Linked DNA regions of Stegostoma tigrinum. The protein of the gene in region 3 purifies or fractionates together with the protein of the main gene of each other region. This does not show direct contact. Links are inferred from orthologs where the notes say so. Each region holds a gene or a part of one and is shown on either strand. Other genes may lie near its edges.

Region 1 (8,357 bases), on a different chromosome or scaffold from region 3:
AAATGCAAAGTGCTAGGGATAAAGTAAAATAAATAATTTTTACATGAACTTAATTGAAGTTTCTGAAGAAGTAAAAAAAAGGATTGATGAGGAAAGAGTGGTGACATGATCTACATGGGCTTCAGTAAGGCGTACGACAGTTCTTCATGGTAGACTGGTTAGCAAGATTAAACCACATAGAATACAGGAGAACTATTCATTTGGATATAAAATTGGCTCAAAAGTAGAAGGCAAAGGGTGGAGGGTTGCTTTTCAAACTGGATGCCTGTGACCTGCAGTGTGCCACAAGGATTGGAGCTGGGTCCACTGCTTTTTGTCATGTATATAAATGATTTAGAGGTAAGCATGGGATGTGCGGTTAGTAAATTTGCATTTCATACCAAAATTGGAGGTGCGGTGGACAGCGAACAAGGTTGTCTCAGAGTACAACAGGATCTTGACCAGATGAGCCAATGGGCAGAGGAATAGCACAGAGTTTAATTTGGATAAATGCGAGGTGCTGCATTTTGGAGAGGCAAATCAGGGCAGAACTTATACACTTAATTGTAAGGTCCTGGGGAATGTTGCTGGATGAAGAAACCATGAAGTACAGGCTCCTAGTTCCTTGAAAATGAAGATGCAGGTAGATAGGATAGTGAAGAAGGCATTCGGTATGCTTGACTTTATCAGTCAGTGCATTGAGTTGGGAGGTCATGTTGCAGCTGTACAGGATATTGGTTAGGCTACTATTGGAATATTGTGTGCAATTCTGGTCTCCCTGCTATGAGAAAGATGTTGTGAAACTTGAAAGAGTTCAGAAAAGATTTACAGGGATGTTGTCAGAGTCGGAGGGTTTGAGCAACAGGGAGAGGCTGAATAAACTGGGGCTATTTTCCCTGGAGCATCAGACACTAAGGGGTAACCTTACAGAGGTGTATAAAATCATGAGGGGCATGGATAGGGTAAATAGCTAAAGGTCTTTTCCCTGCGGTGGCAGAGTCCAAAACTAGACAGCATATGTTTGAAGTGAGGGGAGAAAGAAGTAAAAGGGATCTAAGCAGCAGCATTTTCACACAGAGGGTGGTGCACGTATGGAATGAGCTGCCAGAGGAAACTGTGGAGGTTGGCACAATTACAATATTTAAAAGGTATCTGGATGGGTATTTGAATAGGAAAGGTTTAGAGGGACATGGGACTAGATTTATTTAGGATACCTGGCCAGGACGGACAAGTTGGACTGAAGGGTCTGTTTCCATGCTGTACATCTCTATGACTCGAAGTTAAGTTTTAGTGAAGATGCCACCCAGGTTGACAGGGTTGTTAAGGCGGCATAGTGTTTTAGCTTTTATTAATAGAGGGATCGAGTTCCAGAACCACGAGGTTATGCTGCAGCTGTACAAAACTCTGGTGCAGCCGCACTTGGAGTATTGCGTACAGTTCTGGTCACCGTATTATAAGAAGGATGTGGGAGCTTTGGAAAGGGTGCAGAGGAGATTTACTAGGATGTTGCCTGGTATGGAGGGAAGGTCTTACGAGGAAAGGCTGAGTGACTTGAGGCTGTTTTCATTAGAGAGAAGGTTGAGAGGTGACTTAATTGAGACATATAAGATAATCAGAGGGTTAGATAGGGTGGATAGGGAGAGCCTTTTTCCTAGGATGGTGACGGCGAGCACAAGGGGGCCTGGCTTTAAATTGGGGGGTGAAGGATATAGGACAGATGTCAGAGGTAGTTTCTTTACTCAGAGAGTAGTAAGGGTATGGAACGCTTTGCCTGCAATAGTAGTAGATTCACCAACTTTAAATACATTTAAGTTGTCATCGGACAAGCATATGGATGTACATGGAATAGTGTAGGTTAGATTGGTATGACGGGTCGACACAACATCAAGGGCCGAAGGGCCTGTAATGTGCTGTAATGTTCCATATTCTATGTTCTATGTTCTAAGTATACATGGAACAATGAGTACATTGTGTGCAGGGCACTACATGGGCAAAAATCAATCTTCAGTCATCATTTTTATAGTTAATGGAAGTCGAGAACCAGCACCAGTCACATATGTCACATTTAAAGCAATAAAGATGCATTACAGGAACAAAGCAAAACTCTATGCTAAGCCACATAAAATATTAGGGCAATGGTCAAAGCGTTAGGTTTTGAGAAAGAAAGTGATAGGAATGTTGAAAGGATGCTTGTCCTTATGGGAGAGTCTAGAACTATGGGGGACAATTTAAAATATGGAGCTCTCTCATTTTAGACAGATGATGAGATTTTAGATTAATACAGGATCAAAAGTTACCAGGTTGGTACAGGTGAATGTGGAGTTGCTGGCACACCAAATTAGTTTTGATGTTATTGAATATTGGAATAGACTTGCAGAGCCAAACAGCCAGCTAAAATATTCATAAAAGGTGCAGAAGATTAAGGATGGTCTTCCAGAACGTCAAGTCTTAGCAGCCGTGACGCAACCACTAATGGCTGCGCAATCAACACTGGAGCTGTTGAAAGAGTAGAGATCAGAATTAAAGGAGCGCAGAGCTGGACGCTGAAGCCTTTCGGAAGAAAGGTCCCTACCCGAAACGTCAACTCTCCTGCTCCTCTGATGCTGCCCGGCCCACTGTGTTCCTCCAGCTCCACACGATGTTATTTCTCACTCCAGCATCTGCATCTTATTATCTTAGAGGAGCGCGGAGCCTGTACATCATGTGGCAAAAGGAGGCCACGGAGAGAGGCAATTCCACGAATAGATTTGAAAGGATGAGAATTTTAAAATCGTGGCGTTGTTTGTGCAGGAGACAATGTAGATCAGCAAGCATATGGGAAATAGAGGAAGGGCGCTTTAATTGAGCTCAAGACAGGAAAAGCGGTGTTTCGGATGCCTTAACTGTGAAGAGGATTGATTACGAGTATTACCAGATGTGTTGAGTTTGCCTGTTGTCATGAACAAGCATCCGTTTGAGCAGAAACATACTGCCATCGTTCAGAACTACTGAAAGATTCCACAAGAGGGTCCTTGTCCTACCAAAGGTAGGGGATTTGAGCCATCCACATAGAAACGGTACATTGGAAACTGACCCGCACACAAGCTTCTCAAGGATACTTAATATTCCTTGTTGGCTGCGTTGTGATAAAGGCGGGTCCCCGGGCGGATGTGCGCGACAACTAAGGATCGGAGCAGGCGATTGAGTCCCTAGCAACCAGGGTCGCCCCACCGGGCCTTGTCTCAGTGCTCGGGGAACTCGTCGGCGCTCACCTCGGTGAAGATGTCGTGCAGATAGCGGAAAGGCGGCTTGCTAAGCAGCTTCTCCGTCAGTGGCGGCTTCTTGATCACTTTTCCCAGGGTGTCCTGGGTCCGTCTGACGAACGGGTTGCTCATTGCGCTGGGTCTCTCCTCTGGGTCGGGATAAACTGATCCAACCAGGCCGTTCTCAGGCCCGCTCCACCAACCGCCGCCGTGCGCGACTACGTCACTAACGCGTGCCAACTTCGGCGTGACGCGGCTGCCTAGCAACAACCGCAACAGCGCTGTCAGCTGACACACTGCGTCCTTCCCCCAACCATTCATTCCCCACTCAGACCGTTTCCTTACCGTTTTATCAATATTCATTTAGGCATAGGTTTAAGGTGAGAAGGAAAAGATTTGCAAGGGACTGAAGGGGCAAATTTTTCACGCATGGATGGAGTGAACTGCCAGAGGAAGTGGTGGAGGCTGATACAATGACAACATTTAAAAGGCAATCTACATGGTTATATGAATAGGGAGGGTTTGGGATATGGGATGGCAAATGGGACTAGATTAATTTAGGATATCTAGTTGGTGTGGAAGGGTTGGACCGACTCTCTGTTTCCATATGGATCAAATTGGTGCCACAAGCATGGAAATTAATTCACATCCAGCTGGGATGGATTCAGAACCTGTCTATAATAAAGATGGGTGTGCCTTCAGCAGAGAGAATAGGGGAAGAGAAAGCAAACTTTCTGACTCCATTACAAAGTATGAGATGATTTCATTCATTGCTTAAATTTTACACTTCCAACATAAACATAAGTTAGCTTTTAATTGTGATTAACTCCAAGCTTACAGAGATAATAGGACCTGCGATGCTGGAGAATCTGAGGTAACAAGGTATAGAGCTGGATGAACACAGCAGGCCAAACAGCATCAGAGGAGCAGGAAAGCTGATGTTTCAGGACCCAAAACGTTAGCCTTCCTGCTCCACTGATGTTGCTTGTCCTGTTGTGTTCATCCAGCTCTGCACCTTGTTATCTCATTAACTCCAAATTTGTTTGAATTGAATTAGTTGAAATGAATATCAGTTTCTCAATCAGATGGACCATTCATCTGCAACTAAACTCAAATTTCCAAAACAAAAGTTATATTCTAAAACATATGAATAATGAACTAGATAGTCACATTGTATTAACCTATAAAGTGTATAATTAAGTACCATGTATGTGATTATATAAAGAATCTGAAGAAGACATATCATTTTAAAATTGAGACATGAAAAATACCTCTCATTAGCTAATTGAAGAGCATTATTCTTTTCAAGGAGGAGGTAAATATAGTCATGTGGCTAAAGAGAGCAAGGGATTTGGGGGAAGAGGGTGAGATTAGCCTACTGAGTCCAATGATCAGCCCACGAGGGGGTTGAATGACCTACTCCACTCTTCTTTGTTTCTACAATCTCTAGTGGTCAAGAAAAACATAATTAGTACCAATCAGTATTTTAATTGGAATTGTTCCCCAAGGAAAAGCACAAAATTTATAATTTGTTTACAGTTAAAAGCTTCAAGTGAAATTTGTTGTCTCAAGTATGATTGAGGATGATCATCACATGTAAACCCAGTCTAACAACAAAAAATGCTGTAAATACTCAGCAGGTCTCATAGTATCTGCAGAGAGAGAGGCATTTAACAGTTAACAGTTTAGGTTGTGACCTTTCAACAGAACTGGAAAAGGTTAGAAATATAATGCAGTATCTGTTGAAAGGTGAAAAGAGGAAGAATGGAAAAAGAACAAAAATGTCTGAGATGGGTTAGGGGTTACAAGATATATTAAATGACGAAAGATTTTGTGGGTAACAGCTAGAGGGAGTGGTAATGGTACAAGTAAAAATAATGTCCAGAGGATGTACAAATGTATACTGTCAAAGTTCTGCTCCAATACTCCGCTATAGGGCAACAGAAAGCTCAAATTGTATTTTTGAATCCAAAATAATTTTGATAATGAGCTCAAACCTAAAACACTAATATGTGATTCTTCCTAATGCATGTTGATAAACTGGCTGTGTTTTTCAAATATTATCTGCAGGAACTTTTGAATTCAGGAATTGAGGTTTCTGTAAAGATGAGTATACAATCAAAGAATGCAATAGCTGTTCAAGTCCAAAATGACTCAAAATTAACTCTCTCTCTCTCTCCCACTCCAAAAGATGCTACTAGATATGCTGAGTTTCTTCAGTGCTTTGTTTATTTCAGATTTCCAGAGTTTACAGCATTTTCCTTTTACCTTGGTTTTGGTATAACTTTAGCCAGATCCCTCCCCAATTCTTAATGGTACTGCCATATTGAAAACCAAATACTTGGCTCTTGCTCTTTGCCCTGTACCAGTTGTTCAAAGCAACTTTCTCCAACTGGCTATGCAGTACCTAACCCCAGGATACACACACCAAAACAGTGTGATGACCTTAAGTTCTGAAAATTCTACCCTGAACGAAAGTTGTTCCGAGAAAGTGGAAAGTAGGAAACAGAAGCTGAAGAGCTTGGACTGGGAAGAAGTTGAGAGAACGGTAAGCATCTGAAATTAAGAGTTGAAAATTATAAATGTTATTCTGGTAATAAAATCTGAAAACAAACATATGGTCAATAGATTTGAATAAGAAATTATATTATTTGACCATTTAGCTTCGGATCAATTGAAAGAGTGATGGAATGAGCAATCAAAACAGTAGTAGGCAATTGTTTGACCAGATAAATTTCAGATAAAGAAACTTCATTAAATCCATCAAAAATAAATGTTGGCTGAACTTTGTTACACTAAATAATACACTAAATAAAACATACTGTAAATGGGAACAAGAACAAAGTTGCTGGAAAAGCTCAGCAGGTCTGGCAGCATCTGTGGAGGAGAAGAGAGTGTTAACGTTTCGGGTCCAGTGACCCTCAGACTGAGGAAGGGTCACTGGACTCAAAACGTTAACTGGTTTCTCATCCACAGATGTTGCCAGTCCTGCTGAGCTTTTCTAGCAACTTTGTTCTTGTTCCTGATTTACAGCATTCGCAGTTCTTTTGGTTTTTGTACTGTAAATGGGCACTGGAAAAATTCAAATGCTGCATTATCAACATTAACTTTTTCTAAGCAGGAACTGAGTCACAAATAAATATTTTAGAACTTTGAATTTAGCATTTTTTCCCTCAACAAAGCATTTTCAATGATTGAGGTGGTGCAATCCTTTCATGTGTCAATGAAAATTTTAATTGTGTGTAAATACATAATCACAAAAAGGTTGTTCTGATTTTCTTCACTTTAAAGGCTGTGTTGAAAAAGTGTATGCCAACTGCACTAATAAAAAACAATGCAAAAGAAATTAAGTAACAAAACAGGACGTTTGTGCAAGGCAAAAGGAAATAGCAACAAGACAAGAAACAAAAGATGGGTGTAGAAAAGGTGTAAACAGAAAATACAGAACATATCTGCAGCTGATCTCTTTTTAACTAAGAAGCAGTACTGAATAGGAAGGAAAGAATGAGAATCAAGGGTTATGGGGAGAAAGCAGGTAATTATTGAGAAATAGCTGATCACCATGACTTCTTTCAGTAGCAGAGCAGATAAGATTGGTTGAATGGCCTACTTCTGTTCTTACATCCTTTGATTTCGTGGAAACTTGCACAGGTGCCAGTACACATAACTGCAGCAATAAAACCTTTGGGTTCCAAAAATAAAATCAAAAAGACTCCGCACTCCAAAGAGCAGCAAGCACAAAACGTTCAATAGCTGAAAATAATCTGATTATTTCATTGATAATGGGAACTGCAAATGCTGAAGAATCCGAGATAACAAAGTGTGGAGCTGGATGAACACATCAGGCCAAGCAGCATCTCAGGAGCACAAAAGCTGACGTTTCGGGCCTAGACCCTTCAATCACAAAACGGGTAGGGAGAGGGGGAGGCGGATCGAAGATGGTACAGGAGAAGATAGGTGGAGTGGAAACAGACAAGTTAAAGGGGCGGGGGTGGAGCCAGTAGAGGTGAGTGTAGATGGGGAGGTAAGGACGGGGATAGGTCAGTCCGGGGAGGGCGGACCGGTCAAGGGGGCGGAATGAAGGGTCTAGGCCCGAAACGTCAGCTTTTGTGCTCCTAAGATGCTGCTTGGCCTGCTGTGTTCATCCAAGTCCACACCTGATTATTTCATGCTTTGGTTCCCTCTTTGTTGAGAGATTATATTGTCACTGACTTCCGAATTTTAAAAATAATCCTAGCTGTTACTGGTGTGAACGATAAACACAAAAAAAGTGTTTATCCCTTTTCCATGTTATTATAGCGGTAGGAAGATTACACCCGCCCGCCAATTCAAACCAATAACCTCGCTTTCCTTTGCCACGATTGGACGGATATGTATGATTGACGGTGGTATAGCCCAAACAGATTGTGGACGGAGTATCAAAATAAACTACTAACGCTTACTAAAAACCGAAAGAACCGCAGATGCGATAGATCAGGAATAAAAACAAAGTTGCTGGGAAAGTTCAGACGGCCCAGCAGCATCTGTGACGGAAAAAACAAAGTTAACGTTTCAGGTCCAGTGACCTTCCTCCCCTGACGCTTTCTATTTGGCTTTTGCGTGTGATTGACAGGAAAGTAACCCAATCCAAAGAGACGACGTGCTGACGCGAGCGTCCGTGTAATGAACGTGGAACAAGTTTGACCGTCATTAGGAGGGTGGGAACAAAACCCGGCCCTGCTTTTATTGGACTGCCATGCGATTGATGGCGTGGCTTGTCTTATGGGTGGGAACTGTGTCGCTTGGCCTTATTGCTGTTGAACGAGTGCAAGTGATCGACAGTGGGCTGAACCAATCGTACGCGTCAGGGGATGGCCCGCGATTAGGGCGCGCGCGTTTCGGTTAGGCTGGGCGCTGCCTCGCGCCGAGTGGGTATGATGCGGAGGCAACGCCGGCGGTGTGTTGGTGGTACCGAGCGAGCTGTTTATACTTTACGGCAGAACAACTCTCTTAGTCAAGAAGAGGTGGAGAGCGCCTTCGGAGAATTGTAAGGATTTCTTCGCGCACTGCTTTCTCTGGTTTTTCCATGTATTTCGCTTTGTTCAGCAGGTGAACTGCACAGAGAGCAATCTCAGATCGATTTATTGTAGGCTTCGG
Region 2 (7,931 bases), on a different chromosome or scaffold from region 3:
CTCCCACAAAGTCTTGTGATACGTTTCATGAGGTCCCAAGGATTCATCTGCTTAATGCGTTTCAAGACTTCCAGCATCTCTTTGATGGTATGGACTCTCTTCAAGAATTCACAATTTATTTCCCCAACTTCCCTAGCATCCTTGCCTTTTTTGATGGTAAAGACTGATGAGAAATATTCTTTTAGGATCTCAACGTAGACCAGGAGCTCAATCAGCAATGACAACATACTTAAACGACTAGACTCTGCCTTCCCACACATTTCATCTTTAATTGTGAAGTAAACAAACAGATCAACGGTACACCAATGGGGTCACCCATGTCAGGATTCATTGCAGAAGCAGTCATGCAAAGACTAGAACACACCAACCTCCCCTGCATTCAACCTAAACTACGTATTCAGTACGTAGACAAAACATTTGTCATTCTTAAACACAACAAATTAGAAGAGACCCACAACCCCATCGACAGCGTATTCACGGGGATTAAATTCATAAGGGAAGAAGAAAGCAACAATCAACTTCCACTCCTGGATGTTAAAGATGTGCATAGGACCAACAGGGAGTTCCAATTCTCAGTATACAGAAAATCAACGGATACTGATCGAAAATGTAACTTCCACAGCAACCATCCCAACACCCACAAATAAAGCTGCATTAGGACACTATTTAAATGGGTCAGGACACACTGCAACACCCCAGAACTATGCAGGAAACAGGAAGAGCACCTATATAAAATCCTCACTTTAAAAGGAGTTCCCCGCAACTTCATCTGCAGATGCCTACTAAACAGACAACAACAGGAGGACACAATATGCCTTAACGCACTAGCCACATTGCATTTATATCAAGAACACATTGGAACTGACAAAGAGACTGCTATAAGACCACTAGGAATCATGGTGGCCCACATGCCCAGAGCCACTCTACAACAAACACTTACAAGGATTAAAGCCCCCATTCCCAAAACATGCAGAACCAACGTGGTTTACATGCAATGACTGCTACAAACATTACAGTGGGTAGACAGGAAGGAAACTAGCCATCAGAATACATGAACATCAACTAGCAGCAAAGCAGCACAACGAACTCTCCTTAATATCTGTACACTCAGACAATGAAGGCCATCAGTTTAACTTGGACAAGGTAACAATTGTAGCCTAAGCCAAACAAAGACACGCACGGGAATTCCTAGACGCATGGTTCTCTGCCCATAATGCAATCAACAAACACACAGAATTGGACCCTGTATACAAACCCATACAGATAAAACCAGAAATGACAGGACTCACCTTAACAGATCAAACAGTATAAGTTCCAAGCGGAGTAGAATAACATTTCTTCATTGGGGGGGGTCCACTGATGATGTCAGCTAGCATGGTGATGAAATGTCTGAACAAGAACAAGCCAGCTCAGCGAGCAAGTCAACAATCTCAATGATAGCAGGAACTACCAATGCTGGAGAATCTGACATAACAAGGTGTACAGCTGGATGAAGCAGCATCAGAGGAGCAGGAAAGCTAACATTTCAGACTAAGACCCTTCTTCAGAAATGGGGGATGGGAAGGGGATTCTGAAATAAATAGGTAGAAAGAGGGAGGGAGGTGGAATATGGATAAAGGAGAAGATCGGTGGAGGGGAGACAGACAGGTCAAAGAGGTGGGATTGGAACCAGTAAAGGTGATGTAGGTGGGGATTTAGGGAGGGGATAAGTTGGTCCAGGGAGTACAGACAGATCAAGGAGGCGGGATGAGGCTAGTGGGTAGGAGATGGGGGTGGGGCTTGAGGTGGGAGGAATGGTTAGGGAGGCGGGGACAAGCTGGGCTGGTTTTGGGATGTGGGCGGGGGAGGGGAGATTTTGAAGCTTGTGAAGTCCACATTGATACCATTGGGATGCAGGGATCCCAAGCCAAATATGAGATGCTGTTCCTGCAGCCTTCGGGTGGCATCGGTGTAGCACTTGCTGTGGATGCAGGGAAAAGTGCCAGGGGTGGTGGGGCTGGTGGGGAGTATGGAGCAGACAACGGAGTCACAGAGAAAGTGGTCCCTCTGGAAAGCAGATAAGGGTGAGGAGGGAAAAAGGTCTTTGGTAGTTGGGTCAGATTGCAGATGGTGGAAGTGTGGGAGGAAGATGCATTGGATTTGGCAGTTGGTGGGGTGGTACGTGAGGCCGAGAGGGATTCTGTTTTGTTTGTTATTGCAGGTAGGGGGTGTGAGGGATGAGTTGCAGGAAATGCGAAGAACATGGCTGAGGGCATTTTCAACCAATGCGGAGGGAAAATTGCAGTCCTTGAAAAACAAGGTCTTCCAGGCTGTCTGGGAGTGGAATGTCTCATCTCAGGAGCAGATGCGGCGGAGGCAAAGCAATTGGAAATAAGGGGATGGCCTTCTTGCAGCAAAGTGGATGAGAGGACAGAGATAGAGACAGAGATGTTCAAGCAGGAGAGAAAGGTATCAGAAATGGTCCAGGTGAGCTTAAGGTTGGGGTGAAGGTGTTAGTGAAGTGGATGAACTTTTTGAGCTCCAAGTTGGAGCACGAGGCAGCGCCAATAGAGTCATCGATGTAATGGAGGAAGAGGTGGGGGTTAGGGCCAGTGTAGCTTTGGAACAGGGATTGTTCCACATATCCCACAAAGAGGCAGGCATAATTTGGGCCCATGTGGGTACCCCTTTGTCTGTAGGAAGTTGGAAGGAATTGAAGATGGGTGAGGACAAGTTCAGCTAAGCAGATGAGGGTGTCAGTGGAGGGAGACAGGTCGGGCCTGCAGAACAGGAAGAAACGGAAGGCCTGTAATGCAAGTGTGTAGGGACTGGACATCCATGATAAAGATGAGGTTCTGGATGTAAGTTTGCTCACTGAGCTGGAAGGTTCGTTTTCAGATGTTTTGTCACTTTTTTTATTTGAAAAAATATACTTTATTCATAGAATATACAGAAAATAAAACATTTATACACCTACCCAGTCATGCAAGCTGCTCCCGGTTACCCAAGGGGTACATACACCAACTAGAGGCAAAAACAAAACAAAGATGAAAAAAAAAACAAAGCAAAGAAAATACATTGGCAGTCATCTCCCCGCACAGTCCCCATTGGCCCCTGACCAGTTGGGGAAGGCGCCAGCTGGGCCCAGTTACCAGATAGGGCCCTTTTTTCTATTCTGGACGAGGGGTTTCATACGGTGGTCTTTCCCCACCGCGCCTTGGCAGCGGCTGCCCCAAGCTTTAGCGCGTCCGTCAGCACGTAGTCATGGACCTTGGAGTGCGCCAGTCGGCAACACTCGGTCAGGGTCAGTTCTTTCAGCTGGCAGATCAGCAAGTTGCGGGCAGACCAAAGAGCGTCTTTCACCGCATTGATGGTCCTCCAGGCTCAGTTGATGTTGGTCTCGGCGTGCGTCCTGGGAAACAGCCAGTAGAGCACGGAGTCCCGTGTCATGGAGCTGCTCAGGACGAACCTCGACAAATACCACTGCATCCCCCTCCAGACCTCCTGCGCATAGGCACACTCCAGAAGGAGGTGATCGACACTCTCGTCCCCCCCGCAGCAGCCTCAAGGGCAGCGTGCGGTGGCGCAGAGATTCCGGGCATGCATAAAGGATCTCACTGGCAGAGCCCCTCTCAGCGCTAGCCAAGCAATGTCCTTGTGCTTGTTTGAAAGTTCTGGCGATGAGGCATTCTGCCAAATGACTTTGGCAGTCTGCGTGGGGAACCACACGACGCGATCCACCCTCTCCTTTTCCCGAAGGGTCTCGAGGATACTACGTGCTGACCACTGCCTGACGGCCTTGTGGTCAAAGGTGTTTCCTTTCAAAAATTTCTCCACGAAGGACAGGTGGTATGGGACGGGCCAACTACTTGGAGGGTTCCGCGGCAATGAGGCCAGGCCCATCCTTCGCAACACCGGGGACAGGTAGAACCTCAGTAAGAGCTTGATGCAGCCACACACAAAGGTAGCCACCAGGGCGAGGGTGGCGTTCGGTACGTCCTTTCCCCCATTTTCCAGGTCTTTGTACATGGTGTCCCTGCAGACCTGGACCATCCTCGACCCCCAAATGAAGTGGAAGATGGCCCGGGTGACCGCAGCGACGCAGGTCCAGGGAATAGGCCAGGCCTGCGCCACATACAACAGTACTGAAAGCCCCTCGCACGTGACAACCAGGTTCTTACCCGCGATGGAGAGGGACCGGAGCGTCCACCTGCTCAGCTTCTGCTTCAGTTTGGTGATACGCTCCTCCCAAGTCTTAGTGCACGCCCTAGCTCCACCGAACCAAACACCCAGCACCTTCAGGTAGTCTGTCCTGACGGTGAAGGGGATGAAGCAGCGGTTGTCCCAGTTCCCGAAGAACATGGCCACGCTCTTACCCCCATTGACTTTGGCACCCGAGGCCAGTTCAAACTGGCCGCAGATGTCCAACAGCCTACTCACCGACTGACGATCGGTGCAGAAGACGGTGACGTCGTCCATGTACAAGGAGGTCTTGACCTGAAGGCCTCCGCTGCCTGGGATAGTCATGCCCTTCAGGCTCACGTCCTTCCTGATGGATGCGGCGAAGGGCTCCATACAACACACGAACAAGGCAGGAGAGAGTGGGCAGCCCTGCCTGACTCCAGATCTGACAGGAAAACTGTCCGATTCCCACCCATTGATCGAGACTGCGCTAACGGTGTTGGTGTAGAGCAGCCGGATCCAATTATGGATGCCCTCCCCGAATCCCAATTTGGAGAGGACGTCCCTCATGTAAGCATGAGAAACCCTGTTGAAGGCCTTCTCCTGGTCCAGGCTGACGAGGCAGGTGTCCACCCGCCTGTCCTGCACGTAGGCGATCGTATCCCTGATGAGCACAAGGCTCTCAGTGATCTTCCTGCCCGGCACAGCACAGGATTGGTCAGTGTGAATCACTGACTGCAGGACAGACCTGACCCGGTTGGCTATGACCTTGGCCCGGATTTTGTAGTCCACATTCAATAATGAAATGGGACGCCAATTCTTAATTTCTTCCCTCTTCCCCCTTCCTCTTGTAAATAAGGGTGATGATGCCCTTCCTCATGGACTTGCACATTTCCCCTGCCCAAAGCGCACTATCGTACACCTCCCGCAGGTCCTGGCCGACCAGGTCCCACAGAGCGGAATACAGATCAACCGGTAAGCCATCACTCCCGGGAGCCTTATTCCTCTCAAAGGACTTGAGGGCTCTGGTCAGCTTGTCCAGGGATATCGGCCGGTCCAGACACTCCCTCGTGACGTTGTCTAAGACCTCCGTGATAGACGACAGGAACGACTCGAAGGGCGTGCTGTCCGTGGGCATCGCGTCGTACAGCCCGGCGTAGAAGGATCTGCTGATCCTCAAAATGTCGGGCCAAGACGACGTCACCAAGCCATCGTCGTCCTTCAGTCGGCTAAGCACAGAGCTCTCTTTGTGCACCTTCTGAAAGAAGAAATGCGAGCACGTCCCGTCCTGCTCCACATAGTGGACCCTGGACTGGAAGATTATCCTGGAGGCCTCCGCGGCGAAGAGCGAGGCTTGCTGGCCCCTCACCTCGTGGAGGTCCTCCATGACATCGACCCCCATCGACTGCAGAAGGTACAGGTTCTGCATCCTTTTCTGGAGTCACGACAGCTTCCCCCGCCTCTCTCCCGCCTTCTGAACACCCTTGAGGACAATGAACCTCTTGATGTTCTCCTTCACTGACTGCCACCAGTCGCCCGGAGACTCAAAGAGGGGTTTCACGGTTCTCCAACCATGTATTCCCTCTTAAGCTCCTCGACATTCTCTGGGGTCAACAGAGTCGTGTTGAGCTTCCACGTCCCCTTGCCAGCCAGCTGGTCGTCCTGTAAGTGACAGTCGGCCAGCAGGAGGCAGTGGTCAGAAGAACACCGGCTCGACGCCGGTGGACCTGACCGAGAACGCCGGTGACACAAACAGCAAGTCTATCCTTGAGCGGATAGACCCGTCTGGCCGTGTATCTCCACTGCGCTCCGTCTGCAGGGATGCTGAAGACGTCGAGCAGCTTGGCGTCCTTCACCGTGCCCATCAGGAATCTGGACGTGATGTCCAGTTGACTCCCCCTACCCGCTGTCCCCACGCCGGATCGTCCATCTGCATCGATGATGCAGTTGAAGTCTCCGCCTAGGATGACCGGCCTGGACGTAGCCAGCAGGGGTGGAAGCCGCTACAGGACGGCCAACCGCTCACTCCGTACCGCTGGGGCGTACACGTCGATCAGCCTCAGGGGAGCATTCCTGTAGGTGACATCAGCCACTAGGAGGCGCCCCCCTACAGTGGCGCGTGGCTGGGTGTCGGAGGCAGCCTCAGGACACCTCCCGTCACCTGGAATCAGGGTGCTGCTTTCCTGCTCCCATGAGATCTTTAGCTTCTGTTTTGGGCGGGCCTCCTCCGAATCCCCCTCATCAGAGGAGCTCTTATAGCCCCCCCTGTAGCTGCCTCTTCCCGCCTGATGGTTGCGGTGCTGGGGCCCGCTGGCGCACCTTCCTCCTTGCCTTCCGGACCGTTGTCCACTCCCCTGGGTCACCTGTCGCCTCCTCCATCGACTCCGGGTTGTTGTGGGGGCGCAGAGCCTGCAGAGGCGATTTGCTGGCCTCGGGTCCGTCCTGCGGGGCTGGGCCCTCCTGCACAACCCGGCCCTCTTGCACATTAGGGGGGTCCTTGCAGGGGCCTGGTGCCTTCCTCTCCTCCAGGGGGGCTTGCCCCGCATTGCCCCTGCCGGCGACCTGGTCGTAGGTGGTCCCCCTCCACGGGCATGCACCATAGAGGTGGCCTGCTTCCCCGCAAAGGTTGCAGCTTTTTTCTTTTGGGCAATCCTTTGCAAGGTGTTCCTCCTCCCTGCAGATGGTGGCTTTGCAGTCGGCTGCCACGTGACCTGACCTACCACAGGCATGGCAGACTTTAGGTTGCCCTGCGTAGGTCAGGTAGCCCTTGCTCCCACTGATCGCGAAGCAGGACGGTGGGTGTACGATGCTCCCGTCTGTGCCCGTCCTCAGCGTCACCTTGACCTGCCTGTTACTGGTCCAGATCCCGAAGGGATCCATGATGTAGGTTAGGTCCCCTACCACCTTCACGTACCTTCTGAGGAAGGTCAGAACATCAGCTGCTGGCACATGCGGGTTGTACCTGTGTACATACCATACGGCTCCTCTGCACCGGCATCACGAACAGCGGGACAGCAGTCAGTACAGAGAGGGGGCCCTCACCTCCTTTCTCATTGAAAACCTCCAGGAAGCGCTCGCAAAGCTTGGCACTCCTGAAGGTTACATCGTAGAAACCTCCTCCAGGGAAGTCCTGCAGGCAGTAAATGTCCGCAGCAGTGAAGCCACAACAGTCCAACGGGACCCTCTTCACGAAGAAGGTGCAGTCCACAGGTGCACCTTCATCCACCTTCTTCACGGAAACGCGGATGGTGTTCCGGACTCCCTGACCTGGGGCACGAGCACTCACCGCAGCCATCGTTGCAGGTTGGCTGCTTCGCTGAACCAGCGTTAGGCCGAAGCTAACATTAAGATCCACCGGTTGCGAGGATGCACAGTCAACCCGACATCTTCCTTCCACCTCCTACACAGTCGTGCTCTCCTCTTCTCAGTCCACAAAACAGTGGGTCTTTATTTTGTTCCGGATGTAAGCTGGTTCACTGAGCTGGAAGGTTCGTTCCCAGACGTTTTGTCACCATTCTAGGTCACATCATCAGTGAGTCTCTGGTGAAGCATTGGTGTTCTATCCCGCTTTCTATTTATCTGTTTAGGTTTCCTTGTGTTGGTGATGTCATTTCCTGTGTTGATGTCATTTCCTGAATTGGTGATGTCATTTCCTGTTCTTTTTCTCAGAGGGTGGTAGATGGGCTCCAAATCAATGTGTTTGTTGATGGAGTTCTGGTTGGAATGACATGCTTCTAGGAATTCTCATGCATGTCTCTGTTTGGCTTGTC
Region 3 (8,156 bases):
TCCCCTACATCAAAGACATTTCCGAAATGACTGCCAGACTACTCGGACCTCTTGGCATCAGGGTAGCCCACAAACCCACCAACACACTAAAACAGCAGCCAATGGACTTAAAAGACCCTATACAGACAACAAATAAAACAAACGTCATCTACAAAATACCTTGCAACAACTGTGACAAACACTACATTGGACAAACTGGCAGAAAGCTATCCACCAGGATACATGAACATCAACTAGCCACAAAACAACATGACCCACTATCACTCGTATCCTTACATACAGATGAGGAAGGACACCACTTTGATTGGGACAACACATCCATCCTAGGACAAGCCAAACAGAAACACGCATGAGAATTCCTAGAGGCATGGCATTCCAACCGGAACTCCATCAACAAACACATTGATTTGGAGCCAATCTACCATCCCCTGAGAAAAAGAACAGGAAATGACATCACCAACCCAAGGAAACCTAACCAGATAAATAGAAAGCGGGACATAACACCAGTGCTTTGTCGGAGACTCACTGATGATGTTAGCTAGAATGGTGACGAAACGTCTGAAAACTAACCTTCCAGGTCAGCGAGCAAACTCACATCCAGAACCTCAACCTGAGCTACAAATCTTCTCAAAACTCGCTAATTGATTATATTTCAACTGATGCCACATTTGAGATCTCGTGTATCCTCTATAACCTCCCTGGCTCTCCCCAGAAATTACATTATTTAAAATATTTTTTGGAGCTCATACAAAGCTATTGAGAAGATCAGAAATATAAATCACCTCATTTGAAGATTTGGAAAGAACTGAGCACATAGCTGCAGCGGATTTCTTCTAAGGAAGAAGGGTTACATTTAGGCTTCAGATCAACTTTAGAGATTTCCATTTCAGGATAGAAGGAGTGGGGAATAAAGTATACGAGCACATAAAATATCAACTCATTGATATCCAATGTTTACAAAAGGTCAAATAACCTTTGCACTACATGAACATAAAGATTTATGAAGCATGAACATAAAGACATATGAAGCATTTCAAACTTCAAAATAAGTATAAATAAAATTCAAGCTTTCATGAAATTGTTGGCTGACTATTATTTTAGAATGCTGATTGTAAGAAGCTTGTGTAGAACCAAAACAAGGAAACATGAGAAGCAGGGCTTGTCAAATAAAGTTATTATAGCAAATTTAAAGACCATAACAATCAGGATAAATTGTCATAGATATATTGGCCGAGATTTTCTGATGGCCAGGCAGTTGTTACTCTAAGATAGATGCTGCAAATTCCAAAGGACTGCCCAGGAAATTTGAAGATTCTGCAATACAGGAGAATGAAAATCAAGGTGTGACTCTGCATTATTTAAACAGCCATGATTGGGATCTCCTGTCAGAAATGTGGAGCTCTTTCCTTTCATAAAAAAAAGGGCATATAGCAATCATTCCCATTCCTTGGAAAATCCAGCCCATTATGATAACAACAATTCAGTCTATTCATTTATAACATTTATCATGAACCAGACAGGAACATCAGAAGGAAGGCTTTATGGTCCATTGCACTTGTACTAGCACTAGCTTTTCAACTGAATCTAATTTAGTGAATTATGATTTATACTCTGCCCTCAAAAACACTTAGTTAATTCTTTCTAAATTATCCTATGATCATTGCCACTTTTATACATTATAAAAGAAACAGTTCGTTATTTTAACAGTGAAAAGAATGTTCTGCCTTTCCCTTATTATTTTAGGGATAATTCCAGGTTTAGACCCCTTGTTACTGAAACATGGACCACTATTAACATTTTTTAAAAAGTTCTCATAGCTTTGAAAACTTTCAATAGATTTGCATCTCACTCTTCTTGTTCCAGGGATAAACACTATTTTCCCCACATGCTTTTCTTCACAACAATAAACAGTCGGCTTTAATTCACTGATGAGCATTCGTGTCCGAGTCAGATTATGACCTCAAACTCAGTCCAGGGATGCAATACATAATTCAAGTTTGACACTTTAATTAGTACTGAGGGAGTGCTGCACTGTCTTTCATCTTTCAGATGAAAATTCAACTAACAACCAATCTGTCATTTTTGATAAATGTAAAAGATTTTACCGACCATTCAAAGAAGAGTAGTCAAGTTTGCCAAGTTGTCCACATGAGTCTATCACATAGGACTCAAATAATTTTCTAAAATGCTCTTTGTGGAACATTGCTGAGCTCAAACTGGCTCCGTGATATTTGAACAATGGGGACATGCTCCATCCACTGCGAAAGGCTGTAGGACATTGCTATATAAATGCAAGTGACGACACTGTGTGGTCCATTTCTGAAGAAGGGTCCCGGCCCGAAACATCAACTTTCCTGAATAAAAAGAGAAAGAACTGCGGATGCTATAAATCAGGAACAAAAACAAAGTTGCTGGAAAAACTCAGCAGGTCTGGCAGCATCTGTGAAGGAAAGAAACAAGAGTTAACGTTTCGGGTCTGGTGATCCTTCGTCAGAATTCAACCCAAGGGACCCGGACCCGAAACATTAACTTTTTTTTTCCTTCACAGATGCTGCCAGACCTGCTGAGCTTTTCGAGCAACTTCTGTTTTTGTTCCGTCAACTTTCCTGCGCCTCTGATGATGCCTGACCTATTGTGTTCATCCAGCTCCGCACTGTTGTTTCTGACTACAGCATCTGCACTTTTTGCTATTTCAATGCAAATGCAACTTTTTCCCCCCTTTGCTGTCATTCCTTGGTGTGTGGGGTAGGAATTCTACTCTATTTTGGCTGTACACTTTCTACAATATCACAAAATATTTCAATTCTGGCCTATACGTTGGACCGATTACTTGCTTTCGACATTCAAAAGGTCTTTAAATACGCCGAATGGAAATGGAAATGGGAATAGGATGGTAAGTAGGGCCGATTAAGGGGGCGTGCAGCAAAAGGGGACTCCCCTCAGACTCAGGTAACAAGGTGTGGAGCTGGAGGAACACAGCAGGCCGAGCAGGAAAGAATTCCTTTTTTTCTGAAGAAGGGTCCCAACCTGAAACTGTTTGGCCTGCTGTGTTCATCCAGCTCTACACCTTGTTATCTCAGATTCTTCAGCTTCGGCAATGCCTACTATCTCCCCTAAGTTTCAGATCATGGGGGTTGGGGGTCACTCTGCAGCCCTGTCCCGGGTTAATTACCACAGAGGCCCACCTCGACAGCGCCTTCATGTTGTTTCTCCGGATCAGATTCTCCTCGTAGTCCATCAGCTTCAGCTTATCCAGCAGGTCCTCCATGGTGACAAACATCTGATAGACGGCGCCAGGCCCGCGCTCCCCTTCATCGCCTCGCCGGCCATCATCGGCCATGGGAGCAGCGGCTCAAGGGGAGGGAGGGGCTCTCGGCCTTTCTCCGGGGTTTACCCGCCCGCTCTGTGTCCACTGCCCGGACACTGTCCGTGATGTAAAAATTAAACGGTTAATGCGCCCGCCCGGTTCGAACCGAACACAGCGTATCCAGGAAGTGAGGTCAGCAGTGAGAGGAGTTGTGTAGGGGAAAACGCTGCAAAGACGAGGTATTATATCACTAGGGGCTGGGAATGATGAACACCACAAGCAGCTGGTAAGGGCACTTGTGGAGCAACGGTGATATCCTTACTTTTGAGCGAGGAGGCCCCAGTTCAAGTCCCACTTTAGAGGTGTGTGTGTGTGTGTCGTTACATCTCTGTATAGGAGGTGATTAGGAAAATAGGTATATGAGTAGTGAGGGGATTTTATAGTGTCAGGGTTATGTCCCTATTACTGAGTCCAGGGGACTTATGGTTCAACTTTTCACCTACTGCAGAGGTGTGTAATACTATTTTTGAACAGATTTTTTTTAGAAAAGTCATCTGCCACTAACAACTTAAGGGTTTCAATTACATAAAACATTCCATGATGCTTTGTAGTGACATGCCTCATAAGTACACATTTCATGACTTTGATATGCCTCTAAAAAATTCATAATTAATGCCAGCTGCCTTAGAAATATAGTTGTTGTAAAGTGGGAAACATAAGGTAAGCAACTCCCCTGCCCCTCCGCCCCGCAGTAGTCGAGAACGCCCTTGACCGTGTCTCCCGCATTTCCCGCTACACCTCCCTCACACCCCGCCCCCACAATAACCGCCCTAAGAGAATCCCCCTGATCCTCACATACCACCCCACCAACCTCCGGATACAACGCATCATCTTCCGACACTTCCGCCATCTACAATCCGACCCCACCACCCAAGACAATTTTCCATCCCCACCCCTGTCTGCTTTCCGGAGAGACCACGCCCTCCGTGACTCCCTTGTCCGCTCCACACTCCCCTCCAAGCCCACCACACCCGGCACCTTCCCCTGCAACCGCAGGAAGTGCTACACTTACCCCAACACCTCCTCCCTCACCCCCATCCCAGGCCCCAAGATGACTTTCCATATTAAGCAGATGTTCACCTGCACATCTGCCAATGTGGTATACTGTAACCACTGTACCCGCTGTGGCTACCTCTACATTGGGGAAACCAAGCGGAGGCTTGGGGACTGCTTTGCAGAACACCTCCGCTTGGTTCGCAATCGTGAACCATTTTAACATCCCCTCCCATTCCTCAGACGACATGACCATCATGGGCCTCCTGCAGTGCCACAAAGATGCCACCTGAAGTTTGCAGGAACAGCAACTCATGTTCCGCTTGGGAACCCTGCAGCCCAATGGTATCAATGTGGACTTCACCAGCTTTAAAATCTCCCCCTCCCCCACTGCATCCCAAAACCAGCCCAGCTCGTCCCTGCCTTGCTAACCTGTTCTTCCTCTCACCTATCCCCATCTCCCACCTCAAGCCACACGTCCATTTACCACCTATTAACCTCATCCCGCCTCCTTGACCTGTCCGTCCTCCCTGGACTGACCTATCCCCTCCCCACCTATACTCTCCTCTCCACCTATCTTCTCCTCTATCCATCTTCAGTCCGCCTGCCCCTCACTCCCTATTTATTTCAGAACCCTCTCCCCATCCCCCTTTTCTGATGAAGTGCCTAGGCCCGAAACGTCAGCTTTTGTGCTCCTAAGATGCTGCTTGGCCTGCTGCGTTCATCCAGCTTCACACTTTGTTATGTTGTAAAATTTATAGGGGCCTGAATGAGAAATGTTGCAGAATCAAGCAAGAAGTTCAGAAGGGTCTGTATCTTTTTATTCCAGGTGTCAAGGTGTGATTCGTACCAGGCAATGGCGAGATACCTATAAAGAAAGATTATTGTTTGTTGGCAACCTTATTAACTACACATATTAATGTGCAGCTGCCTCATCTACTGCCCACTGTGTGCAAACTAGACAACAAAAACCTGCTGACTTCAGCTTGTTACTGACTGCAAAGAGGCTCCGTGTTTCTCAGCATACAATAGCATCTCAGTGCACAATCCTTGGGCGCCAGCTGCACAGCCCTCATCAATGCATGTTCAACCAATACTCCATATCACCTTTTTAGCGCAGGACCTCCAAAGTTTGTGGGCAGCAGCCACTTCTGAAAGCTGAAGACAAAGCATTGACACGCTGGTTGGCCTGCAAGGAGTCTTAGGAACCTTGAAGTGACTGAGTAGGGAGGGAATGTTTCATCCAATATTAATTCCAATAACTACCAAATCCCCAGGATTCTCATGGCACCTAATCCACTTGCAGGATACACATTGCAGGGCGCATTGAAACTTGCATCAAAAGGACATTCTGCATGCAAGGACTGGCTCCCAGCTGATGGATTGGACCAGGTTATGTCTCAAGGCTGCTCACTTGCTCTGTAAGCACTTACTCACCTAATGTCTAGTTGCATGCTTTCAGCATCCCTGCCATGCAGTGCCGTGCCTGTTAGCACTTTGATGCTTCAGCCAGAGTCTAAAGGCTAAAGCACAATCATGTTGATGTCAGAGATAGCAAGAACTGCAGATGCTGGAGTCAGAAGTTATAAAATGTGGAGCTGGAGGAACACAACAGGCCAGGCAGCATCAGAGGAGCAGGAAAGTTGACGTTTTGGGTCAGGACCATTCTTCAGATATTGATGTGCTCATTTAGACAGGTAAGTTGCTTCTTGTGCTTGTCAGTAAAGACCTGCCTGGGCTGGAGTGCATCTTGCTATAGAGCACTCCAGGATGTCAATCTAATATGGACAGTATGTGCCAGCTCCTAGTGTGCCATCACACTGTATGTTTATTCAACCAAATGGCCATCTTGAAAGTGGGTGGAAGCTAGTCCTCAGTCCATTTGGGGGTGAGGGGCAATTGGTCAGGCGACCCTGATACATTCAGCCTCTGGTGCAGTCTTCATATAGCTTTTTTTAAAAATTGCCAATTGCTTACCTGTATTAACGTTCCCCAATGGGACAATGACAAGATGTGCATCTACAGTGGGCATTTGGGATAGAGTCATTGTGACTTTGGATGGTGAGACAAGATGTGACTAAAGACAGGGAAACTGTGTCACTTGTTGGTTTAACAGTGACTAGGTTGAAAGAGTGGGGAAGTGTATGCAAAGGAACACCAGCCATACTACCTAAATACTGTGGTTCTTACTGGACAAGGCAGGTTGTTAGTTAATTCAATGGTATTGGGAAGATAATGGCAAGATATCTCCATAAGCATTCTGTAGAGAAACCTTCCGTGAAACTTGACAAAACTGACACTTAACGAAAAAAGTAAGATTCAGCTATCTGTGACGAATTTGCATACTGTAATACAAATGGAAAATTAAATGATCAGTTAATCATTTGACATAGAAGAAGAACAAATTTAAGGATTTGAAGCAGGCCAGAGAAGTCATCCTTCAGTTGTATAGGTCACATATGAGACAGTGAGAATAATGCCTTTGATGTGTGAAATGATCTGAAAATTAAATGTTAATAGGATTCAAGGGGAACTAGCAGGTTGGCTTAAAATTGCCTCAGTGGCAGGAAGCAAACAGTTAAGGTTAAAATGTTTCATTCTGGCTGGAACGATGTATTTCTCTTTTTTGTTCAGCATGAATACAATGGACCAGATGACCTGCTTCTGTGGTGTAAATCTTTCCATGTTTCTATGCATAATTAAGGTGACTGTAGGTTATCAATCAAGCAGAACAATTATTTTCTGAAATGTGTTGATCTCCTTGGGGTTTTTTTTAACAGCTGCTGTTATCTCGGCAAATGAAAAGAAGAAGACAGATTCTTTTATAAAGTGCATTCACAACTGCTGAATTTCACATCTAACGAATTTTTTTGAATTATTGTCCCTATTGTAATGGAGGAAACATTACTTGTGCACAGCATTGTGATATTTGTGGAGATAATCTATTTTTATGATGTGGTTGAGGGATAAATATTGGCCTGGACACTGAGGCTGACTTTTCTGCTTCTGTTTGAAATAGCACCATGGAACTTTTTCATGCCCATCTGAGAGATGAATGTGGCCAGCATTCAACATATCATTTGAAAAACACCACTTTTGACAATATAGCTCTCTTTCAGTACTGCACTGGATCATCAACTTAGATTGTTGTGCACAAAACTCAACTTTCTGCCTCAGAGCAAGAACGTCACCAACTAAATTACAACTGAGACCATTGTTATTCCATCACCTTTCTGAACCCAGGTGACCTGAGTCCTGTTACCACCTGCTGCACAGCTGTGTAAGAGCATCTCTGAACAGGTTAATTAAAAAAAAAACTGCAACTAACAACCAATGCTTTCTGAAATATTAAATGCCCAAGGTGCTTCATAGGAACATGGCTCATACCAACACGTTTCGTGGCCTCAAGATATTTTAAAATAATTCACAATTAATGCTAGCTACCTTTGAAATGTAGTTGTTGTAAAGTGGGAGACAGAGGGCAAACACTGTAGGGGCCTGAATGCCGTGGGCTATGTGAGAAATGTTGCAGAATCAAGCAAGAAGTCTTTTGTGTGGATGTTGGAAAGATCATGGGTTCAGGAAATAGGTTACTCACCACAGAATATTGACTAAGAGCTGGAATGGGGAATCATTGCAGCATTATTATCTAAGAGTTGTGAATGGAAATAAATGCTACAAAAATCAGTGGCTATCCCCACATTGAACCTTATTTTATGATGTTATCATTTAAGTTAATTTTGCACCATTTTATTCGGCACTTACTGAGTCTTTGCTGTATAAAGAATTCAAATAT
Region 4 (7,897 bases), on a different chromosome or scaffold from region 3:
TACATCTCTGTAGGAGTTACCCAGGGTAATGTCCTCGGTCCAATCATCTTCAGCTGCTTCAATGACTTTCCCTCTATCATAATGTCAGAAATGGGGATGTTCACTAATGATTGCGCAATGTTCAGCACCATTCATGACTTCTCAGATACTGAAGCAGCTCAAATGCAACAAGATCCAGGCATTATCCAGGCTTGGGATGACAAGTGGCAAGTGACATTTGTGCCACACAAATGCCACACTATGACCATCACCAATAAGTGACAATCTTACCACCATCCTTTGATATTCAATGGTGTTACCGTCACTGAATCCCCCACTAGTCAACATCCTGGGGGTTATCAGTGACCGGAAACTCAACTGGACTAACCACATAAACATAGTGGCTACAAGAACAGGCCAGAAGCTAGGAATACTGCAGCAAGTAACTCACTTCCCGATTCCTCAAAACCTGTCCACCATCTACAAGGCACAACTCATGATTGTGATGGAATACTCCCCACTTGCCTGGATGAATGCAACCCCAACAACACTCAAGATGCTTGACACCATCCAGGACAAAGCAGCCTGCTTGACCGCACTACATCCACAAGCATCCACTCCCTCCACCACTGATGCTCAGTAGCAACAGCGTGTACAATCTACAAGATGAACTACATAAATTTATCAAAGATCCTCAGACAGCAACTTCCAAACCCACGACCACTTCCATCTAGAAGAACAAAGTCATCAGACATATGGGAACACCACCACCTCCAAGCCACTCAACATCCTGACTTAGAAAAATATTGCCATTTCTTCACCGTCACTGGGTCAAAATCCTGAAATTACCTCCCTAATAGCATTGTGAATCAACCCATAGCAAGAGGACTGTAGCAGTTCAAGAAGGTAGCTCACCACCACCTTCTCAAAGGAAATTAGGGATGGGCAAGAAATGCTGGCCAGTCAGCGATACCCACATCCCATCAGGGGCGGCACAGTGGTTAGCACTGCTACCTCAGTGCCTGGGAGCTGGGTTCAATTCCACCCTTGGGCAACTGTCTGTGTGGAATTTGCACATTCTTCCCGTGTCTGTGTGGGTTTCCTCTGGGTGCTCCGATTTCCTGCCACAGTCCAAAGATGTGCACGTTAGGTGGTTTGGCCATGCTAGATCACCATAGTGTTCAGGGATGTGTAGCTTAGGTGGATTATAGGGGGATGGGTCTGGGTGGGATGCTCCAAGGTTCGGTTTGGACTTGTTGGGCTGAAGGGCCTGTTTCCACACTGTAGGGATACTACGAAATGAATAGAGAAACAAAATACAATTAGATAGAACCTTTAGTTCTGACTTTTTATAGAACTTTGTAACATCTGTTGAGCCAAACGAATTTCACGAAGATACAAGCAGGCTGTACAGGGTTGATGGGCTATGAGCTTGGAGGCTGGGTGTGTGTGGAATCCCCAGATAAGATGAGATTAATAACCATTGTACAGTTAATAATTCAGCCTGATGTTTCCTGGTGGCACTGTAACCCACGGAAAATAGTTAGTGGTGTCTGGGAGATGGCATTCAGCCTCCACAATATATCAGTCAATAGACCAGACAACAGAAGCACCACCCTTATCAGCAGGAACAATTACAAAGTCAGGGTTGGGTCAAAGAGCGTGCAGTGCAGTCTGTTCAGAGGGATATAGGTTTGACTGGATGGGGGATTGAAGTAAAGGCAGCCAATGTCAGGCAAAAGCTCTCCCAAACAGGTCAAGTGCAAATTGGTAAAAGGCCATAGGAAGGGGTCCAAGTGGAGGCAGCGTATTGGAGGCAGGCCAAGAGATGTCTATTGGTCAGGGAGAGGACTCTTGTCCAAATGAATGGGCATGGAGGCAAAGAGAACAGCAGAAGAATTTAATGTCATGTTGTGCTATTGAAGTAGGGGCACAAAGGGGTAAAACGAAGTCCTTTCCTGAACACAGAACATTCAGAGAACAGAAGGTCAGAATGAATAGTAAATATCTGACAAGAGCTGGGATCAGGAGAAGGCAGCATCTCAGGAGCACAAAAGCTGACGTTTCGGGCCTAGAACCATCAGAGGGTTCTGCAGAACACCTCCGCTCGGTTCGCAATAAACAACTGCACCTCCCAGTCGCAAGCCATTTCCACTCCCCCTCCCATTCTTTAGATGACATGTCCATCCTGGGCCTACTGCAGTGCCACAATGATGCCACCCGAAGGTTGCAGGAACAGCAACTCATATTCCGCTTGGGAACCCTGCAGCCCAATGATATCAATGTGGACTTCACCAGCTTCAAAATCTCCCCCTTTCCCTCTGCATTCCAAAACCAGTCCAGCTCGTCCCCTCCCCCCCACTGCATCCCAAAACCAGCCCAGCTCATCCCCGCCTCCCTAACGCGTTCATCCTCTCACCTATCCGCTCCTCCCACCTCAAGCCGCACCTCCATTTCCCACCTACTAACCTCATCCTGCCTCCTTGACCTGTCCGTCCTCCCCGGGCTATCCCCACCTATCTTCTCCTCTATCCATCTTCGGTCCGCCTCCCCCTCTCCGATGAAGGCTGTAGGCCCGAAACGTCAGCTTTTGTGCTCCTGAGATGTTGCTTGGCCTGCTGTGTTCATCCAGCTTCACACTTTATTATCTTGGATTCTCCAGGATCTGCAGTTCCCATTATCTCTGATCGGGTGAAAGGCCTAATTTAAGTTAAGAGATAACAAGGCGTAGAGCTGGATGAACACAGCAGCCAAATAGCAGAGGAGCAGGAAGACTGACGTGGGCTTAGGTTAATGTAATACAAAAGGGTGCACTGTGAGAGATGTCATCTTTCAAATGAGTGTTTAAACTGATGCTCTGTTGGCCCTCTCAGTTCCAAACAAAAGATCCCATGGCATCATTTCGAAGGGCAAAGCTCTCAGTAATCCTTTCCGACGGTTACCTCTCAACCAACAATTTGCCAATCTGTGGGATCTTGCTATGTACAAAGCATTTTCCATGTTCCCCAGATAACTGCAGCTCCTAAACAAAGAAGTACTAAATTGGCCACCGAAAAATAAGTTTCGAAAAGTTCCGGACTGGTGAGAGGCTTTGTATAATGTACATGTTCTGTCTATCCTAGTTTTCTTTACCATCCTCCCGCAACCCCTCCATACCGTGACAGATATCCTGCTCCGCACCTACTTTCTATAAAGTCCTTGCACTCCTCCTTCAATTCTGTTGTACTTTGCGCCACCTCAGGGTCCAGGACCCTGAGTTTGTTGAGTTCGTCGAAGTGCAGGCCGGCCTCCCCGAGGGACTCCATCGCCATCAGAATCAACAATACCCTCTCGTCCCCTCTGCCGCTGCCACGGCGACAGCGACGGCTCTCTCCGCCCTGCTGCGCATGCGCGGTCACAGGGGGCGGGGCACCCACGGATGTCGCGCGTGCTCAGTATCAAAACTCACTCAGTCTCTCAAGGTAGTGTGGGTTTCTGCAACATTATTTTTGATCTTTCTTACCAGACAGATTCTGGAGAGCTGAAGAACTTTAGTTTGCCGTTTGTCCAGAGTATTGTATACAGAAGGATTTAAAAAGAAATCTCACTGCAACACAAAATAACGGTTGAAGCTAGCGAATCTTCGCTCTTTGTTGTTTTAAATGATCATTTATCGGCGAGCTCCAACCATCGGTGAGATGGCCTGGGCGACTGGACGGCACTTTAACTGAGCCATGAAAGTGCAATCCAGCGGCGGGAAATATATCTGCGCGCGTGCGCACTAAATCGGGAGCCGGCGTGTGGCTAGCGCGCGTGCGCAGTTAGACGAGTACGGACGGGATCGAAGTCACGTGTGAATGCCCTTGCGCCGGAAGAGAAGGAGGAGCGGAGGCGGTTTGAATGGTCGGCACGGCAACTGCTGCAGGTACTGGGCCTACTTCGGGGGTGGGGAGGGTTTTAACGAACGAATAAACAAACTCGCTTTGGACAGTGTTGTCAGAACAAAGTTCAGCAAAGCGGACTGAGCGATTGTCGATAAAGAGATGTCAGTGACCGCCTCAATGGAAGCGAGTTTAGGCTCCTCATGGCAGCTGGAAGAAGTGATCGTAGAGGATGGAACTCCCTCAAACTCGCCCCAAATCTGAGAGCTCTAAGTGAATTGTTTAAGCAGGCTAGGCCATTGGTTTAGGTTGAAGCTGGATATTTCCTAGGTTGCATCGGTTTCATCGAGTTTTCCCCTTTACCTCACCAATACTTTCTAAAAGACCACACTGTATTCGACAACAGAAATTTCTTCTCATGTTGGAAAGACCGAAGGAGCCTTCAGCTTTTGTTGCTTTCAGCCCCTTGGGTATCCATTCCACTCCTCTCCTCAGTAATTGTCTGACATTGAATCTGATCGTTTAAAACCTTTGTTTTGAAGCGAGTTTAGGCTCCTCATGGCAGCTGGAAGAAGTGATCGTAGAGGGTGGAACTCCCTCAAACTCGCCCCAAATTTGAGAGCTCTAAGTGAATTGTTTAAGCAGGCTATGCCATTGGTTTAGGTTGAAGCTGGATATTTCCTAGGTTGCATCGGTTTCATCGAGTTTTCCCCTTTACCTCACCAATACTTTCTAAAAGACCACACTGTATTCGACAACAGAAATTTCTTCTCATGTTGGAAAGACCGAAGGAGCCTTCAGCTTTTGTTGCTTTCAGCCCCTTGGGTATCCATTCCACTCCTCTCCTCAGTAATTGTCTGACATTGAATCTGATCGTTTAAAATCTTTGTATTGAATTTGACTTCAATATGAGTCCCAAACAAAGACTGCCTGTTTCCACCCCTGACTGTGGTTCAGCTCATCTGCTGAAACAAATGCATGTGTTTGCTACCTTTAGACACAGCTATTCCAATGTGTTTCAGCTTCTCGTGATTTACCCTTCAATACATGTATGTGCATCAATCCCCTTCAGTATCAACTCTGCTGACTTATCAACATTGGATCCAGTTAAGTAATACTTACATTTTGAAGTTTTCATCTTTGGTTTCAGATTTTGCCACAGCCTTGTCCCTCCTTATCTGATTTTGTTCTTATTTATTTAGTTTTATTTTATTTATTTTTGTCACATACCGAAACTGAAGAGAAGGTGCAGAGAATGATGAGCTCTAATATATGAGAGGTCCATTCATAAGTCGGATAACAGAAGGGAAGACCCTGTTCTTAAATTAGTTGTTACATGTTTTGAAACTTTTACATCTTCTGTTGATGGAAGAGGTGGGAGGGGTCTTAGATTATGTTGGCAGCTTTTCTGAGGCAGTGGGAATTCTAGAGCGAGTCAATGGAAGGAAAGCTGTTTTATGTGATGGTCTGGGGTCCGTTCACAACTGTGCAATTTCTTGTGGTCTTGGAAAGAGCCATACCAAGCTGTAATATGTAATATAGGATGCTTTCTATGGTGTATCTATAAAAATTGGTAAGAGCCATTGTGGACATGCTGAATTTCATTAACCTTCTGAGGAAGTAGAGGCATTAGAGTGCTTTCTTGACTATAGCATAGATATGAATGGATCAGGACAAGTTGATGATATTTACTTCTAGGATCTTGAAGTTCTCAACCATCTCCATCTCAGCACCATTGATACAGTCAGGGGCGTGTCCTCCACTCTGCTTCCTGAAGTCGATGGCCAGCTGTTTTATTTTGCTGACACAGAGAGAGATTGTTGTCTTTACACCATGCCACTAAACTCTCTATCTCTTTCCTGTGATAATAAGGTGTAGAGCTAGATGAACACAGCAGGCCAAGCAGCATCATCGGAGCAGGAAAGCTGACGTTTCGGGCCTAGACCCTTCAAATTCAGTTTAAGCTTAAATTTGTGAAGTACAAAAGAAACGGTAGTCAGCAGGAGAAGTGAAGCTAGGTTTTTTTTGGGCTTGGAAATGAGTATGTAACGGTTCAGATAAGGCACAGTTGATAAGTGAGAAAAGCATATTTAATGTCCATGCTAACATTGTTTGGCTCAAGATCTGCAGGTTATTCAAATGTAATGAAGCCTAAATTCTCAAAATTGCAAATATTCAGATAATAAAATGACGGTGAGCTGCAAAGAACTAGGTCGGCCCGAAATGTCAGCTTTCCTGCTCCTATGATGCTGCTTGGCCTGCTGTGTTCATCCAGCTGTATACCTTGTTATCTCAGATTCTCCAGCATCTGCAGTTCCTGCTATCTCTATCTCTTTACTGTACTCTGTCTTGTTTTTGTTTGAAATCTGACTGACATTGGTGGTGTCAACATGTAAATGGAGTTAGAGCTGAATTTGGCCACACAGTTGTGTGTGCGTAAGGCGTTTAATAAGAGGCTAAGCCTTGCAGAACAGTGGTGTTGAGTATTATCATCAAGGTCTTGACACCCATCTTCACTGATTGCAGGTCAGGAAGTCAAAGAACCAGTTGCAGTCAAGCGAGCAGAGTCCTAGGTCTCGGAGTTTAGAGATGAGTTTGGTTAAAATTATGGCGTTCAAGGTGGAGTTGAGGCCAATAAATAGTAAGTGTCCTTGTTATCTACATGTTTCAAGGATAAGTGTAGGAACACAAAAACGGCACCTGCAATGAACCTGATGCCACGTGCAATCTCCTCCAGCTTCTCCGACTCCCTGGATGCCTGTAATCTTCAAACTCTGGTCTCTCGGGTTTAGTTCCTCTATTGTTGGTGACTATATCTTACCCAGTCCAAGCCTCATTCCCTCCCTAAAGATTTCTGTTGTGTTATTTGTCTTTCTTCTTTTACTACACTTAAACCTACTGCTTTGACCAAGCTTTTGATCATCTGCCCTCAAATTCTTGTGGCTTGGTATCAGATTTTGTTTCTTGGCTCTGCTGTGAAATAAGTGCTTTGGAACATTTTACTATATTAAAATGGTATGTTATTATAAAGCAAGCATTTAGATTTACTGATTGGCCTTAAAGAAAGAAATCATTTTTAGTTTGAGTACCAAATTGCCTGCTATGGTAGGAAATTATCAAATAGTGAGATGGCTAGAGTAAAATACTTGGCTTTTATTTTGTTTTTGCTTTGTTTTTCTCAAATACAACGCAAATTTCCAAACTGAATTTCCAGTCTACTGTGGTTAGCAATGAACTCGATGTTATCTGTTGAGACACTTAATACTGCATTGATTTGATTTTGTTAATAATATTTCTCCCTCAATTAACTTTGTAACAACATTGACTGACATTCTGCTGAAACTGATCCATGTTGGAATGTATTTCTGCATTCTCAATACTACAATTTCTCCACTGTATTGACAGATTTTTTTCAGCTTAGATTTCATTTGACTTATCACACCTGTGATTTGTTCCATTGTTTGTTATCCTTGTGATACTATTGTCTCTTCAATAAAATATTGGATTTTATTGTTAACCCAACAGGTAGCACATTTTAAAGTACAATTGAAAGTGATGGTATTTCATTGTAGACTAAATGCTTAAATTCTCAAGTTTTGGACTGAAGTTTGAGAATCCTCTCTCATGAACCTACATTATGGAGATGGGTTTGGAAGTCTGCAGAGTATTTATTCTGTTCAAGAATGCAATTCATTTAGTGGGTGGTTTGGTATTTTAACACATTTGATTATGCCAAGAATGTAAAGTACTTTTTCTCATTAGAATTTTAAAACTTGCATACTGTCTTCTAGATAGTTAACATAATTGAATTTTAAGCAGCAGATGAGTGTGTAACTTTCAATTTACTCTTGAATGCTTCACTCCTAGTGCCTACTTGAACTCATTACTTTGGAAGTTTTTAACTTTGAACTTGGCCTGAGTTGTTACTCAGATGCATAATCATAATACAAAAATTAGCACAGCCCTTGGATGGCAATGATAGAGGTGACCAAAAGCTTAGTCAAAAATGTGGCTGAGGAAGGTGATGGGATGAATGGTTTTGCGAACGTGGAGATGAA

The links.
Region 1: the proteins of ift57 (region 3) and traf3ip1 purify together in Homo sapiens (affinity purification with mass spectrometry; 3 studies listed by BioGRID and IntAct, counting the BioPlex papers as one, with this or other methods). This does not show direct contact. The link is inferred for Stegostoma tigrinum from reciprocal best matches to the Homo sapiens genes IFT57 and TRAF3IP1.
Region 2: the proteins of ift57 (region 3) and ift172 purify together in Homo sapiens (affinity purification with mass spectrometry; 3 studies listed by BioGRID and IntAct, counting the BioPlex papers as one, with this or other methods). This does not show direct contact. The link is inferred for Stegostoma tigrinum from reciprocal best matches to the Homo sapiens genes IFT57 and IFT172.
Region 4: the proteins of ift57 (region 3) and ift20 purify together in Homo sapiens (affinity purification with mass spectrometry; 3 studies listed by BioGRID and IntAct, counting the BioPlex papers as one, with this or other methods). This does not show direct contact. The link is inferred for Stegostoma tigrinum from reciprocal best matches to the Homo sapiens genes IFT57 and IFT20.

Annotation. Positions count from the first base shown.
Region 1 is NC_081360.1:20,756,987-20,765,343, reverse strand, and holds the start of traf3ip1 (TRAF3-interacting protein 1), read right to left. Parts: upstream 3,439-8,357; 5' UTR 3,354-3,438; coding exon 3,231-3,353; intron 3,218-3,230; exon of another isoform or gene 2,891-3,217; intron 2,885-2,890; exon of another isoform or gene 2,552-2,884; intron 1-2,551. Other genes in the region: uncharacterized protein si:ch211-227n13.3, read left to right, coding at 8,135-8,247.
Region 2 is NC_081357.1:80,136,804-80,144,734, forward strand, and holds the start of ift172 (intraflagellar transport protein 172 homolog), read right to left. Parts: upstream 3,417-7,931; 5' UTR 2,957-3,416; intron 1-2,956. UniProt on the Homo sapiens protein: Required for the maintenance and formation of cilia. Plays an indirect role in hedgehog (Hh) signaling, cilia being required for all activity of the hedgehog pathway.
Region 3 is NC_081355.1:106,807,130-106,815,285, forward strand, and holds the start of ift57 (intraflagellar transport protein 57 homolog), read right to left. Parts: upstream 3,514-8,156; 5' UTR 3,341-3,513; coding exon 3,186-3,340; intron 2,894-3,185; exon of another isoform or gene 2,816-2,893; intron 1-2,815. UniProt on the Homo sapiens protein: Required for the formation of cilia. Plays an indirect role in sonic hedgehog signaling, cilia being required for all activity of the hedgehog pathway.
Region 4 is NC_081380.1:36,807,314-36,815,210, reverse strand, and holds the start of ift20 (intraflagellar transport protein 20 homolog), read right to left. Parts: upstream 3,434-7,897; 5' UTR 3,291-3,433; coding exon 3,164-3,290; intron 1-3,163. UniProt on the Homo sapiens protein: Part of intraflagellar transport (IFT) particles involved in ciliary process assembly. May play a role in the trafficking of ciliary membrane proteins from the Golgi complex to the cilium.